Arabidopsis thaliana: one gene and its partner. The protein of the gene in region 1 purifies or fractionates together with the protein of each later gene. This does not show direct contact. Each region holds a gene or a part of one and is shown on either strand. Other genes may lie near its edges.

Region 1 (7,085 bases):
AATGCCATCAATTTATCTATCTGTGTTTTCGATTAGATTTTGTAGTTGGCGTTGAGAGTGTGACTTATTGTTGTGAATGACATAATCTGATACATAGTGATTTATGAATTGACAGACGAAGAGAAAGTTAAGAGGCATCGAGGAACAGAGAAAGATGATGAAAGGAGAAGTAGGAGAAGTGATAAGAAGGATAAGAAATCTCACAAGCACCACAAATCCAGTACATGTAAGATACTGTTTCTCATGTTTTGAGTTAGTAAATATTGTTCCATCCGTTTTAGAACCTTGATTATATGTTGAGTCAAGTTAAGTTTGTCGTATGATAAATTTGATGTGTTTGCTTCTTCATCTAGAGAGTGGTGTGTTTATAGTTATACCCATGTGAGCTGGAGTTTTCTTGTTCTTGTATGCCATTAACGGAGCATCAATTTAGCTTTGTCTTACCTATATTCTCCTAGAGAAGGAAGAGGTTGTAGTCGGAACCTGTTGGTTTGAGGGATTATAGGCAGCAAGAAATATCTTGTTTTGGTTACAGCTAAAGCAGCTATGTTTATCTTTCATCAGCATGACTTATATCATGTGTCTTTGCTTTTCAGTATGATCTGTTTTTCTTGCTGCTGACATTTTTTTTTCTCTTACAGCAAAGAAGTCCAAGGATGATAAGCCGAAAAAGAAACATACGGAAAGCGACCACAAGCTAGTGAGCTCTAACTTACCCTTTGAAATAGTTACCCATAAAAACATCTATTTGTATATTCACTTAAAAAGTCAAAAGTATATTGCTTTGGAGACTTTGTATGTGTGGTTCTTCGCTGGTCTCTTCAGTTGTTTAGTCATGGTTTAATTACAAAAGTCTTGTTGCCCTATTGTAATGTTTGACGGATTGTCATCCACACTGAGGTTCTGATTAAAATGCTTTTCTTTTCCGTTTTTTCTTCCAGAAAGAGGGAATTCCAGAGCTATCAATGGAAGACTACTTCTCGAAAAACAACGAGTTTGCTACATGGCTGAAAGAAGAAAAACGTACTTACTTTAATGATCTCACGACCGAAGCTGCACGAGGACTGTTCTCACGATTTGTCAAGAGATGGAACAGAGGAAAACTCGAGTCTCGATACTACGAGGGAATCTCCACTGCCCCACGAACAGCTCACGACTGGATGATCAAGCGTAGGTGAAAAAAAGCAAAAGCAATACCTTCCTCTTCTGTGGTTCGCCGGTTACCTCTCTTCTTGCTTCTTGTACACGTGAAGGTTGATTGCATCAGAGATATATTTCTATGTAGTTTCTCTACTTAGAACTTCTTGTTGCTGAACTAGTTAGATAGATTGTCGTGGAGAGATATGTAGTCGGTTTTCAGAGTAAGACAAACTTTACATATCCAAGGTCTTAACCAAAGTTGCCGAAGAACTATCTGATGAATCCTTATGTAACATTGAGAATTTGATATCCGGTTAAGGGAGAAATAGACCGTTTTGATTGAAAGTTGGTCTTGTACAGTATGTAAGTTCCTACTGGCATTTACAACACAGCGTATATGTAGCTTTGGCTAAGTAATTTGTGTGCATGAAACTTGGTTATATGAAACTGAATTTTCACAACAGACGTTTAAATGAGTGAAAAAACATATTCTAAATTATTGGGTCACGAGTCTCCTTAACAAATTCCAAAAGTTTTACAAAAGCAAGAACCATCAACTCTGAGAGTATACTGAGATTCAAATCAGGTTGGTTGCACGGTTAAGTGAAAGTTTTACTCGACTTCAGCCAAGTAATCATCGATTTCTGCTGGTGTTAGCACCCTGCATATAACATTCACTTTTCAGATATTGATGGGAATAACAAGATTTTTTGTTTATATTAGTTTTGTAGTCTTGAATGTTTACCTGAAAACTTTGTCAGTACCGATTTTGCCAATCTCGATGTTTTTGCTTGAGATTTCTCCCTCGAAACTGTGAAAAGACACGGAGGTTATAGGCTTTTGAGAAATTCTGAACTCTGGAAATAAAGTAAATTAAGTTTTGGTAAAAATGCTCACCCTTCCTTCAATGTCAATATTGCCGTGTGAATGGCATCATCAAGTTCCATATCTTCTGTGTACCTGATCAAAGACTAAGATGAAATGACATGCTTCCAAGATCATAAACTCATCACCACAAATGGTAAATTATTATCACCTCTTCTCAAGAAACGTCTTTGCATTCGAAACATTCTTTCCCATTGCAGAAGCTTTCCATGAGAAATAAGAGCCAGATGGATCCACCTAGTGGCCAATGAAAATTATGAAATAAGATGTTTTCAGTTTACGGGTTTTACTTCACTTTGAGCAGGATGGTTATATTTTCTTTAAAGTTCTACTTACTTGATACAGTTGTGGACCCTTGTCATCATACCCAGCCACCAGTAGAGAAACTCCAAACGGCCTAACACCACTATTAACAGCAGAAGGAGACAGAGATTAGAAGCAAGATTCAGTAGTCTAGTTTGCAAATACAGATTTGCATTAACAACATTATCTCACGCCAAATCAATATCAAAACTGAGCTAAAAAGTGCATAGAGAGACTCGCTCTAGAGTTGCAATCTCTGAGCCAATAACACTTTTGAACCCTGTTGAGCATATGAGAGGAAGTAATTACATAACACTCGATATAGTACTTACCCCGATTGAGTGAACTCTTGCATCACCGTGGCAGTTTCCCTTACAAGTTGAGTAACGGGGATGGGTTCCTGCAACAATAAACGCCCTTAGAAGTTGAATCAACAGAGCGATCTGGATTTATGAATAAGCAAGAACTTATATCAACTGGAATCATCAATCCAAAGTTTTTATCATACATGTACTACTAGACACTCCAGGAAAAGAAGACAAAAAAACAGAAGATATTAAAGATTACCTTGTACAGACGGAGATATTGCTCAGCCTGCTTCCTACTCTTTCGCACAAGAACTCGGAAATCAGGACCCATACCACTACATAAAAGGCAATACCAAAGTTAGCACTGAAATCATTAGGGTACTAAGGGAAAGGTTCCATCAGTAGCACTAGCACCTGATGAGAGAGACTAAGTACCCAAAACAAAATAAAAAATGTATGATAAATCCAATTTGCAAGCTATAAAACCAAATTCGCTATTAAAAAAGAAGTATGGATAGCTGAAGAGAAGAACCTGTAAACAGTTCCAATGTTGGGAGTCAAATGTTGAATCTTTTGAACCTGAAACAGACAATAGATAAACATTAGTTTCGTAGGAGTTACTGAAACTATGCAACCGAAAGGAAAGTAACACGAGCAGGCACAGAATGAAAAAGAACTAATTGCTATAAAGAGTTGATCAAACTTACAGACGCTTCATCAACCAATATAGAAGGAAGTTTCTTTTCAGTTGCAATGACAACTCCATTTGAAGCTGCATAAAGAAAACAACAGTCATGATTACCAAAGACAATGTTCCTTAAAAATCTCCTCTCGAATTTGATTAGATCATTGAAAAAACCTTTAATTCCAAGTGATGTTTGGCCTGATCCAACAGCTGTTAGGGCATGTTCTATCTGAACCAGCTTCCCTGATGGGCTGTTTCATAAACCACAACATGAATCAAACCCCGAAGAAACCGTTCCAAATGCTCAGAAAGAGATAACATTGATATGATAAACAAAGTTAATACCTGAAGGTGGTGAGAGAAAACGAGTACTGACTGTCCCCCATTGAAAACCAACTAAATCAAGCTGCAAAAAATGCGAAATAGTGTCATCTCTGGAAATTTAGAAACGTGGAAGCTAAATCTGTTCTTCATCAACAATGTTCAAACTTAAATGAAAAGAAACCACGTCTGAGCAAGTAAGTAGACTGAAGCGTTCAAATCTGACAAAGCTTAAAAACCCGGAAGAGTCTCATCGCCATGGGCAATGTGTAAGGAAAACGATGAAAAAGACAAGATATACCAACCCTAATTAAGAATTGTGAGTGAATCAAATCAAACACAAACTCAAACTCAAAGATCAGCTCTTAGCTCAAACTCAGAGACGAAAATTGAAAACTTTTCTTAAACCCCAAATTCAATATATTTAAAGTTATCAATTTAAATTCAACAAAAGAAACCCATTCAATCAAAGCAACATACCTTTGATATATGGATCGAACGGAATGGTCGCAAGAGAAGAGAGAGAGAAGAGACCCAAGTGAAGAATTTTTAAGCTCTCAAGGTTTCTTGCACAAAGGGTGAGAGTCTGACGCCAGAAAACGAGAGAAACAAAAAAACCAAAACGGCGGCGTTTTAACAACTTCACAGTTACTGTATCTTACATAATAGTCCAATATTTTATATCTCTTTTCAGTTTGAACCACATTATTTATTTACTACCCCTAGTCCCCTACTCTCTCTCGCTTCCACGCCCGACTCGGACTCAAACCTGGTCCGAATTGGCTGTGTCTCTCTCCATCGCCTCCTTCTTCTCTGACAAACTCTCCTCCGTTGGTCGGAGTTTGTTTCTTCGCTCGTTCATCACAAGCTTCGTGTACTGGTAATTGTTCCATTTTTTCTAGCTATTTCGGAAAATTGGATGGAAGAAGCATCTGAAATACGCGTGTAAATGTCGCTGATTGTGTCGTTGAGGCAGAGCCATTGTTGATTCTTAGAGAAAATTTGCTCCTTTATTTCTCCAGTTTGTTAAACTCTCGATTACGCCCTTGAAATGCATTCGACCGGGAAGAGAAATTTCTTAGCTGTTATCAGATTATTGTTTACTAGTTCGAGCTTGGTCAGAAAGGCTGGTTGTAGAAATCTCATTTCTGCTACCTTTACCACCAGGTGTTCGACGTTATGCCTGAATGAATCTGAAGAATGCATTGAGGATTCTGATCTATCGTCTAGGAGAAAAAAATTTGATTATGTTGGAGAAGTTGGTGAAAAAGAGAAAGTGAGAGATATTACTAGTAGTCCTTTACAAGTTTTACGAAGATGGGGTTGTGATGATGATGAAATATCCAAGCTTTTTACTCGTAGGCCTGCTTTGCAGAGAGCCAATGTTGCTCAGTTAGAGTTTAAGTTAAGCCTTCTTAAGCCACTGGGAATCACGTCTTCAGACCTTGTGAAGATTCTTAACTGTCGTCCTAGGTTCTTTAGTTGCCGTCTTGTCCTTGATGAAAGGATCAACTACTTCATGGAGATTTTGGGGTCAAAAGAGGTGTTGCGCAGAGTCATTATCCGGAATCCGTCACTCATGTTGTATGACCTCGATGACAAGATCAAACCCGCGATAGAATACTACAAAGGGTTGGGCTTTAGCCAACAGGATCTTGTCGCAATGTTGATATCGCGACCCACGTTGATTCCAAGAACAAACTTTAACAATGAGAAGTTTGAATACATTGAGAAAACTGGAGTCACCAGAGAATCCAAGATGTTTAAATATGTTGCAGTCATCATCGGGGTCTCGAGGATGGAGACAATCGAAGAGAAAGTTAGAAACTTGGAAAAGTTTGGGTTCTCGGAAGAAGAGATTTGGCACCTGTATGGAAAATGCCCAATCCTTCTCTCTCTCTCTGTTGAGAAAGTTCAGAGAAACATGACTTTCGTCATAGCCTCGATGAAACTTCCAGCTCATTCCGTGGTTAAGCACCCTTGTTTGCTTCTCCTCAACCTCGAGTCTCGTCTAAAACCTCGTGCGGATCTCGTTAAGAGAGTCTTGGAAATGCGTCTAAAGCCATTGATAAAAGAAGTGAGCATTTTCAGAGCGGTAAGGATGAGCGAGAAACGGTTCTTGAAGGTTTATGTAATGTGTCATCCACAAGATATTGCAACCGAGCTGATGGAGTTTTACGAGAAATCCAAAAACATGAAACGTTTAGCTGAGAAATCCAAGAAATACATCCGTAAAGGATTCCCCTTTTGAATCTCTTTTTCATCTTTTGTTTCTTTGGATATGTTCATTAAAGATGTAACATTGTGTAGAATTTTCCAGCTTTATCAATGGATACTTTTGAATCGGTTCATGTTTTGGTTTAGATCAGATTAGTTAAACCGGAATAGAAAAATATCAAAACACAAAACGCGAAGAAGCACGTTTGGTGAAACGAAACGCCAAAGACGCCCTAGACGTGTCTCTCTTCCAGACCCGTTCGTGGCGGCAGTGACAAAATCCTCTTTATTGATAAAAACGTTTGCAAAGTTGCAACCTTTTTGGGTTTAGTACTTGAAGAGAATCAATCTGACAGCAAATAGTTTTGGCGTCTTTCTAACTCAACCCATCATCTCTGTTGCATTTTATCGAGAGAATATTTGAGGTGGATATGGCCTCGACCCTTTTCTCCAGAACTTTCTTGGCTGCTAGTCACCGACTGATTACTCCTTCTCTTCCGCAAAAGATCTTTAATCCAGCCACCTTTCTCAGTGTAAGTCGATATCTGATTCGCGATCTGTTCTCAATTAGCCATTCGTTTGACCACTCGTTAGCTTCTGGGTTTGAGAGTGTCTGGATTGATTTCGAGCGTTTGGATTGTTTCTATGATTTGACAGTGGTTCTACTGGGTTTTCGAGCTTTTGAAATGTTGAATAGACTATAGAGAATTGCTTAATTGTTGATGAGGTCTATGTCAATCGATGCTTTTCTTATCAAAGTTTGAAATTGGACTTATGAGTTTTGTAATCATAAATTAGGTAGTGAAGTTTTATGTGAATTGCTCAGTTTCGCCTCTCTGTATATGATTCTGACTTTTTGGTTGGTCTTCCTCTTCTTGTGTTGGTAATTGCTGAAGAGGTCACTCCACTCTCAGTTAGGCTCCGCTTCTACAGCCTATAAATCAACTACTTGGGCTCGTCGAGCTATGGCTTCTACTGGAGTTGAGACAAAAGCCGGTTACTCCACATCATCCGTATCAACCAGTGAACCTGTTGTTTCTGTTGATTGGCTTCATGCTAATCTTAGAGAGCCTGATTTGAAGGTGACTGCCCTTTCTCCTAGTTCACTTCTTGGAGAATATGTCTGCCAAACTTAAACTTACCTGTTTGTATGCTGTTCAGATTTTGGATGCTTCATGGTATATGCCGGATGAGCAGAGAAATCCGATCCAAGAATATCAGGTGAG
Region 2 (8,123 bases), on another chromosome or scaffold:
TCTTCATATCCTCGTTAGTAGCAGACCCTGACCCACTCGGTAACTATTCTTTCATTGACCTCAAAGACTCTTTCAGTTGACGAATCTCATCTCGAGCCTCCAATAAACTCTCTTTTTGCCAACCAAATGGCTTCTCCTCATCTGCCCAATTGATGAAGCCATGAGTCCCACATCTGAAAAATTTTCTACCCGGATTTTCATTTGTCCATGACTTTGTAACTGTCGTTGCCCTACCACAATTGCAAAGAGGACTCAGCTACGGCTAATTGAATTCGCATCAGACCCTGAACTTTGGCTCATCATTTTTGGAAATAAGAAGAGTTCTTGTAAAGAAGAGCTAATAGAACTAGGGTTTATAATAACAAATCGATTTGGGGGTTTTCGTTAAGGGTAACAGTGTCTTTATATTGGGCGAATAAAACACGTGGGGTTAAGTATTAACCTCAGTTAGACACACCGTTAACGAAGTTAACAGTCGTTAACCCGAGAAGCTGATTTTTCCAAACAAAAACTAAACGAAAGATTTTAAAGCGAAAAGAAATAAACCTAGGTATTGTTCGGACAAATTAAATAACCGAAGTATTAAACGGGCAAATTAAAAATATATGAGGTTTTTTTAGAGTTTTTTCCCATATAAAATGTATAAGAAAACGATAGTATATGATTAAAATAGTATTATCTACTGCTAATAAAAGAAACAATTTGAGGCTTCTCAAGTCATCCTCATCATCATTCCAAAAATCATTTTAGAGATGCCACATCATATTTTCTTTTAAATACTCTCTCTAAATGCAATGTCACCAAATTATTAAAAAAAAATTTAGAAAACAAAAAATAAATAATGTTTTAATAAATATTACTAGAAAAAATAAGTGTTGATTTTTTTACTTCAAAAACAAAAGCAAATTAAATGCTTAAAATAAAATATTATTTTTTTCTTGGATTTCAATTAAAATGGTTTAAACTAACAAAACTAAATAAAAGAAACTTAATATTTTTATAATTTATTTCTGAGATCACAAAGTCCAATTTTTCAATGACAGTTTTTATAAAATTTAGGTAATATAAATTATTAGTTGACAAAAAAGAAGGTAATGTAATTCATTATTTTAATTAAAAAATCAAAAAATCAAATTTACGTTAATTACAAATAACTAATTTTGAAAATATTAACGAATCTTTATACATAATAAGAACTATTAACTTTTTTTATTTAATAAATGATTAGTATATATGCAGAATTGAACAATATGCTACCAATCTAATAATACAAAATTAGCTTTTACAAATAAATTTTACAAATTATCCACCCATTGAGTTTAATACGTTTACTATACATAATTCCAACTAATGAACTAAACCCAACAAAAGAAAATCCAATAATTATTCAAAACAAAACCTCAAAGAAATGAAAAAATAAAAAAGTCTTGTGAAAACAAACCCATTTATTTTGAGTTAAGAAAAACTATTTATATTACAATCATCTTTAATAAAATAAAATAAAAATAAAAGGTGATTCAGTTTCATTTTAAATAACACAAATAGATAGTATATAAAAATATAAGTAATTCAAACTAATTTTCTATTTAGATATAGCAAATTTAAAAAAAAATATATGAACTAAAAACAATACAAAAAACAGAAATAAAATTTTAAAATAAATTTGGGCGTAGCCCGTATTTCCTCTAGTTTACTGTAAAATTAGATCAAGATCAACATAACTAAACTTTCAATTTTCATTTAACTAGCGAAGTTTAAAGGTTTTCAGTAACAAAACCAACCCGTATAAATAAATTCGGACCGAGTCAACCTGAATAATAACCCAAAACTCTAAATAACAGATCCGTACGTCTGAAATGCAATTAATGGTGTTCAAACAAAAACACAATTTGACACTAACCGGTCAACTAAAGATCCAGTTGAAGTACATACTTGATGATATTCAAACAAAAACGACACAAACTAAAAAAGTCTCTAGTGCCAGAAATTTCAAAAAGACAATAACAACTAGCACTCTAAAAACCAACAAAGTGACTACGAAAATTCAAAAAAGCTAATATTCCAAAACAAACAAAAAAAAACCACCCTCGAAAATCTTATCTCACCAAGTCAAACTGCAGAATTAAAAGATATGTCAAGGGAAGATAATAGCCAAAAGAGTGCAACCATTAAACAAGTGAAAACAGAGATTGAGTTATGCTGAGACCAAAGTGTTTCTCCCTTCGCTTAGTCGGGAAGAATTTGTTCGTTGTCTGCATCTCCTTCTGTCTCAATGGTAGGCTTTGAAGGTCCAGATCCAGGAGCTTGCTTCTTCTTGATTCCACTCACTATATCATCGATCCTTAGAAGCATACACGCTGCTTCTATAGCCGTCTTGAAAGTTTGCGCCTTCACATTGTACGAATCCCATATCTGGAAAATTGTTAAAAGCTTTTAGTCAACTCTCTGAGTCACATTGGTTTCATGTTGTGAGAATCAACCAAGGTTATGTGATTTAATCCTTACCTTGCTCTCTTTCATATCAGCTATTGCACCAGTGTTCCCGTCAATACCAGTCCATGCGTTTTCACCATTTGCATGCTGCACCAAAACCGACAATTGAAGCATTGAGAAAAGAGTTGGTATATACTTAAACAACGGGCAAGAGATGGCAGTTGGGGTTCATTAGTACAGGACAGTACCTTCCCTTGCAATGCAGTCATAGTACGGATCACGTTAACCCCACAGTTTTGAGCCAGGGTACGTGGAATAGCCTCGAAAGCAATGGCAGCTGCTTCATAAGGCCACTGTTTAAATAAGATTCAGACCAACAAAAGAACATTTATCAGCGACCGTGGGAACAGCATACTCGTTTTAGAGGCTCGATATAGATTTGACACAAAATCACACAACTTTAGGCAAGGAAACAAAATGTAATAAAAGCAAAACCGACCTTTTCTATGCCTTCAATTGTTGCACTCTTCTGTTTTAATGTGGCAGAAACGGTTAGCTCTGTGGCTCCTCCACCAGGAACTAGCTTTGGGTTTTTGATAATGTTTCTTGCAACAGACATGGCATCCTGTAGGGACAATGTTTCAGGCATATAAGGTTATGAATGATTAAGAAATACAGATTTGTAAATAACACCAACGAACCTGTAAATTTCTTTCCACTTCATTGATGAAATCTTTACTTGGTCCCCTTAAGAGTACAGTACAGGCTTTGGGTTCTTTGCAATCAACAATGAAAGAAAAGAAATCATCTCCAATTTTCTTGACCTCAAACAAGCCAGCCCCAGTACCGATATCAGACTCCTGCAGTTCGTCGGGCCTGTTCACAATTACTGCTCCACAAGCCTTGGCGATTCTGTTGTTGTCAGTTTTTCTCAACCTTCGGATTGCACTTACCCCAGCTTTACTGAAATAGTGACAGGCCAAGTCACTAAGACCCTTCTCTGTGATAACCAAATCAGGCTTGAACTTTAGTATTTGAACGCAAATGTTCTCGATATATTCCTCTTCCAACTTCAACAACACTTCCCAGTCCTCTTCTCTAACCAACTCAGCATTGGTTTGATTTTCACCTTTCTTGTACTCAAGAGGACAGTCAAGAAGAATAATCCGTGGGTTGACAATCTTTCTTTTCATTTTACCAGGAGCAACAACATCTTTGTTAAACATAACTCCTTTAAGAACCTCAGAGTCCTCGAACTGACCACCAGGAACTTTCTCAACCTTGATGTACTTTTTAATGTCTACCTCCCTCAAACCTTGTCCAAGATCAACACCAACAGTAGTAGTGGCATCAATAGCCAAATCCTAAAACAGTACATAAAGTCATATAAAATCATGTGAGTACCAACGACAATCAAACTTGTAGAACTTCATACTACAAGTATTTCAACAATCGAAAACCACCAAAAGAATTGAAGAAAGCAGTCATCAAATTCAAGTTATTTCATGGTTACTCATCTTACATTTAAAAAGTCACTTCAAGATGTATGCTGTATCTATACCTACTTGTCTAGACATATCCAATATATATTAAGGAGCAATAAAACCTGGACTGGTAATGCATAAGTAAGAAGCTACTGTAATTACGGTACTTACCGCAATAAGATCTCCAAATTGGCTAGTGAACTTTGTCCCTATGCAGCTCTTGACTAATCCTAGCACTTGTGAACCTGCAACTCACACATTCTTCCATCAGTACAAACGTGAAAGAAAAACTAACTTCAGAAACCAAAGTAGCTGAAGGTCAACTCCAAATGAACAAATACAAGGTAGAAATGGACTTACGGTCATTGATATCAATTGACATAGCAATTTTGTCAAGAACAGCAATAGAATCTTCGAGAGCCTTGATGTAAGCTGCAGAGAAGAATGCATTCGTTAAGATGAAAACGACATGTGTAACATGACAACAATAAGCAATTCATAGTGCCAGCATACCTCGGCATATGACTGTGGGATGGTAATTCTTCTCAAGAAACGCTTCTGCAACGTGAAGCATTTCACCAGCTGTTGGCAAAAAGCAAACAAAAAGAGGACTTCAAGAACCCATGATTATAAACAGAGATCATGATGTTGAACTGAATACTGCAGCACCCATAATATCCTTAAGTAATTTGTTTGTGCTTTAGTTAAAAATACATTAAAACTGGTCCAAACCAAGCCATTGACAAACTATTTGTTAGCAAAAAAGAATGTTCGTACCTAGAACAATAACAGACGTTGTCCCATCACCAACTTCTTCATCTTGCGTACGGCTCAACTCAATCATTGACTGCAATCACCAGAGTCAAAAATGGATAAGTAAAACAATTTTAACAAGAACAATAGATAGAGAAAGGTCAGAAGTAAAACCTTAGCTGCAGGATGAGCGACATCTAGCTCACGAAGAATAGCATTCCCATCATTAGTAACAACAATCCCTGTAAAGATCCAAGAAACAAAGAGGGGTAAGATATGATGATAACACACAGATTAAGAAAAATTAAAGGTAGACAGAAAAAAAAAAAAAACAAGACAAACAGAACCCAAATATTGATTTAGGGTTTATATAAAACTAACACCGAAACTGAAGAACAATAGCTTCAACAAAGAACGAGTACATAAGAAAAACATTTCCAAAGCTAAAAACACTAAACCTAATTCCCTCACTACAGAGATCTACTACCCACATACAGAGATATGAAAAGCCTAAAAAAAAGAGGAAGTGTTTAGAAAAAGACCTCCACCAGCATCAAGAAGCATCTTCAACATAGAACGAGGACCCAATGTTGTACGAATGATATCAGCAACAGCCTGTACCACAAAAACAACGATGATCTGAAACCAGAGGAGAGAAGCAACAAGCATCACAGAGAAAAAGAGCCATAGAAAAGGATTAATTTACCTTGGAAGCTTGGATATTACCATGATGAACCTTACTTCCAGATTCACGCTTCAACGAATCGCCTAAACCATTTTCACAAAAGGAGTTAATCTCGTTACCAAAAAACTAATATCGATTTAGAGGAAATGAGATCTGGAGGAAGATGGAGATACTCACTCAGAACGAGTACCGGTGCGTGCATATTTGCGATCTGAGGTTTTCACAGTGAAGAAGAAGCTTAGAGAGACACGGCGAGTGATTTTCAAAGAGCGGCAAGTGGAAGATCCTACTGCCTTCTCCGATTTCTTTCATCCTCTCTCGTGCTTTTCATTTTAGGTTGAGAAGCCCATCCCTAAGGCCCATTAACTAATATTTCACACATTGGGCCTTTTTGTAAGATCAAAACAAAGTAATAGTATTTTTATATCCGGAAGATTAGGTAAAGATGCGTGAGAACGGGAGAATTGTTAACCTAATTTGTTAAGAGGGAAAAAATACAAAAAATACTTCATTTATTTTTAATTTGTCCGTTTAATACATGCGTTATTTAATTTACCTGTTTAATATTTAAGTTAATTTTTATGTTTATTGAAAACCTTTTTTTTTTTTTTAATTTTAGCAAAATCAGACATCCGAGTTAACGGGCGTTAACAGTGGTAACGAAATCGCTAACTGTAGTTAAAACTTAACCATATAATGTTTACTATTTATATACAATTTGTTTTCTAATAATTATGAACATATTATTTTAGTCGAGTGGTTATGAGAGAGATTACCATCATCATCGATTCAAAATCGATTATCATCTCCAAAATTTTTTTTGATTTTTTTTCTTTTTTTTTTAACAAAAAGGCAAAATCGAAGTCAGCCATCTCTTTCACTTCAACAGGCTTTGCACTTGTGTGTTGCTTCACTTCTTTCTCCAAAGGATATTGCACCAAAATCAATCACCAACCAAAAGTCCCAAATGTTAGACCAATTAATACAACATAGATTTGTGATAATCGATCTTATTTGTTATCAACAGATGCAATTAATGGTAACATAATCTTTCTATAAGCTATCAACGTTACTAACAATGAAAAACAAAGTCTGGATTTTTCAACGCAAAATATCAGCAAAAACTGGGAATATGCAATCTTTGCTGACTTATTCATATCAATCGATCTAGAAATTGAAAACCTTAATATGAATTGAAGAGATGAAGGAATCTAATTTAGCTCGTTCTCAAAATCGAATTGAAGCAGATCTAACAAACGTGGTGCTAAACAAAAGAAAGTCTCAGAATCAAATTCAAAATCGTAACTCGGATTACTGAGATTTTGCCTTTTGTTAAAAAAAAAAATCAAAAAATTTGTTGGAGATGAGAATCGATCTCGAACTGATGAGGATGATAATCTCTCTCAAAACCACTGGGACTAAGATAATATGATCATAACTATTAGAAAACAAATTGTATATAAATAGTAAACATTATATGGTTAAGTTTTAACTGCGGTTAGCGATTCCGTTACCATTGTTAACGCCCGTTAACTCGCATGTCTGATTTTGCCAAAATTTAAAAAAATGAAGGTTTTTAATGAACATAAAAATTAACTTAGGTATTAAACGGCCAAATTAAATAACGCAGGTATGAACAAATTAAAAATAAATGGAGTTTTTTTTGGTTTTTTTCCTCTGTTAATAGTATAATCTCCCTCGACCTAATCCATCTCCCGTCAGAAAGTTGTTCCAAACTCTTCAGTGTTATCATCTTTTCCTTTTAAGATTATTTTTGTCAAGTCTACTTCTTATAACAAGAGTAAGTGCTTTCCCTCCTGTTTTAGGTTTTTGTAATTTGGTTCGCTAATTTATTTGATTTCTCATTTGTGTTTGTTTCGTTTCCCTGAATTTTTCTTCCTTTGATTTTTCAGATTACAGACTTTGAGACTCTTAGTTTTTACTAAGACACAGTGTGATCAAAGAAATAGGCCCATCTTTGTTTTATAGAATTCTTTGTAATCAGGTTGTGTTGAACCTTGTTATGTAGGCTATAGTTTTTGCTTTGAAAGCCATGTATGACTCTGAACTATTACTCAATTTTTTAAAGTAATGTGGGATTTTTTCTACTTATTTTTTTTCTTCATCGATTGAGTAGTATATGTGTGTTTTTAAAATTTTGAATTACCTCATATGCAGAAAAAACTAATATATTTTTAACTATATGTATTATATATATCAAATAAAAATAAATTAGATATAAGAACAAATAAAAATGAAAGAAAAATCATATATTTATTATTAATGTAGATATATAGATTTTAGGAAATTAGCAATTAATTGAATGTAATTTAATAAATATAAAAATTAATTAAAGATTTAAATTTAAAATAAAATATTTTTAGATAAATTTTGTAGGGACTAAAAAAGAAATAAAGAAAATAGTTAATTCAAGTATTTAATGCAAATTAACGATTTGTAAATTTTTAAGAATATAACATTTTGGTTGAGATAGAATTTATAAAAACTCATATGTTATTAGTAAATATTAGAGAGATTTTTGATCAAAAAGTGCATCAAAAATATATATATAAATACTTTTATTTTAATTTCAAAAGAAAAACATTACCTAATACGTATCTTATTCCTAGGACATTTATGATTGATCTATCTTTACGTATTTTTTACGAAAAGAATGGTTTAAGATTGAAGAAGAGTTAAATATTTTTATTTATTCTTTCAAAAATATTAAATAATCAATAAAAATCATATTTAGAAGATATTTTATG

The links. The genes of interacting proteins can lie anywhere in the genome.
Region 2: the proteins of AT1G79210 (region 1) and AT5G26360 fractionate together in Arabidopsis thaliana (co-fractionation; one large-scale study listed by BioGRID). This does not show direct contact.

Annotation. Positions count from the first base shown.
Region 1 is NC_003070.9:29,794,534-29,801,618, forward strand, and holds AT1G79210 (N-terminal nucleophile aminohydrolases (Ntn hydrolases) superfamily protein), read right to left. Parts: upstream 4,304-7,085; 5' UTR 4,123-4,303; intron 3,785-4,122; exon of another isoform or gene 3,728-3,784; 5' UTR 3,708-3,727; coding exon 3,667-3,707; intron 3,573-3,666; coding exon 3,496-3,572; intron 3,409-3,495; coding exon 3,344-3,408; intron 3,216-3,343; coding exon 3,169-3,215; intron 2,972-3,168; coding exon 2,896-2,971; intron 2,729-2,895; coding exon 2,661-2,728; intron 2,432-2,660; coding exon 2,362-2,431; intron 2,263-2,361; coding exon 2,177-2,262; intron 2,101-2,176; coding exon 2,038-2,100; intron 1,952-2,037; coding exon 1,886-1,951; intron 1,802-1,885; coding exon 1,753-1,801; 3' UTR 1,548-1,752; downstream 1-1,547. Other genes in the region: SCI1 (splicing regulatory glutamine/lysine-rich-like protein), read left to right, coding at 116-226, 642-700, 942-1,178; AT1G79220 (Mitochondrial transcription termination factor family protein), read left to right, coding at 4,694-5,893; MST1 (mercaptopyruvate sulfurtransferase 1), read left to right, coding at 6,291-6,392, 6,756-6,941, 7,021-7,080. UniProt on the Arabidopsis thaliana protein: The proteasome is a multicatalytic proteinase complex which is characterized by its ability to cleave peptides with Arg, Phe, Tyr, Leu, and Glu adjacent to the leaving group at neutral or slightly basic pH.
Region 2 is NC_003076.8:9,253,335-9,261,457, forward strand, and holds AT5G26360 (TCP-1/cpn60 chaperonin family protein), read right to left. Parts: upstream 5,695-8,123; 5' UTR 5,558-5,694; coding exon 5,533-5,557; intron 5,439-5,532; coding exon 5,377-5,438; intron 5,286-5,376; coding exon 5,213-5,285; intron 4,913-5,212; coding exon 4,845-4,912; intron 4,765-4,844; coding exon 4,695-4,764; intron 4,500-4,694; coding exon 4,431-4,499; intron 4,350-4,430; coding exon 4,278-4,349; intron 4,163-4,277; coding exon 4,089-4,162; intron 3,798-4,088; coding exon 3,135-3,797; intron 3,059-3,134; coding exon 2,933-3,058; intron 2,787-2,932; coding exon 2,682-2,786; intron 2,581-2,681; coding exon 2,506-2,580; intron 2,413-2,505; coding exon 2,227-2,412; 3' UTR 1,719-2,226; downstream 1-1,718. UniProt on the Arabidopsis thaliana protein: Molecular chaperone; assists the folding of proteins upon ATP hydrolysis. Known to play a role, in vitro, in the folding of actin and tubulin.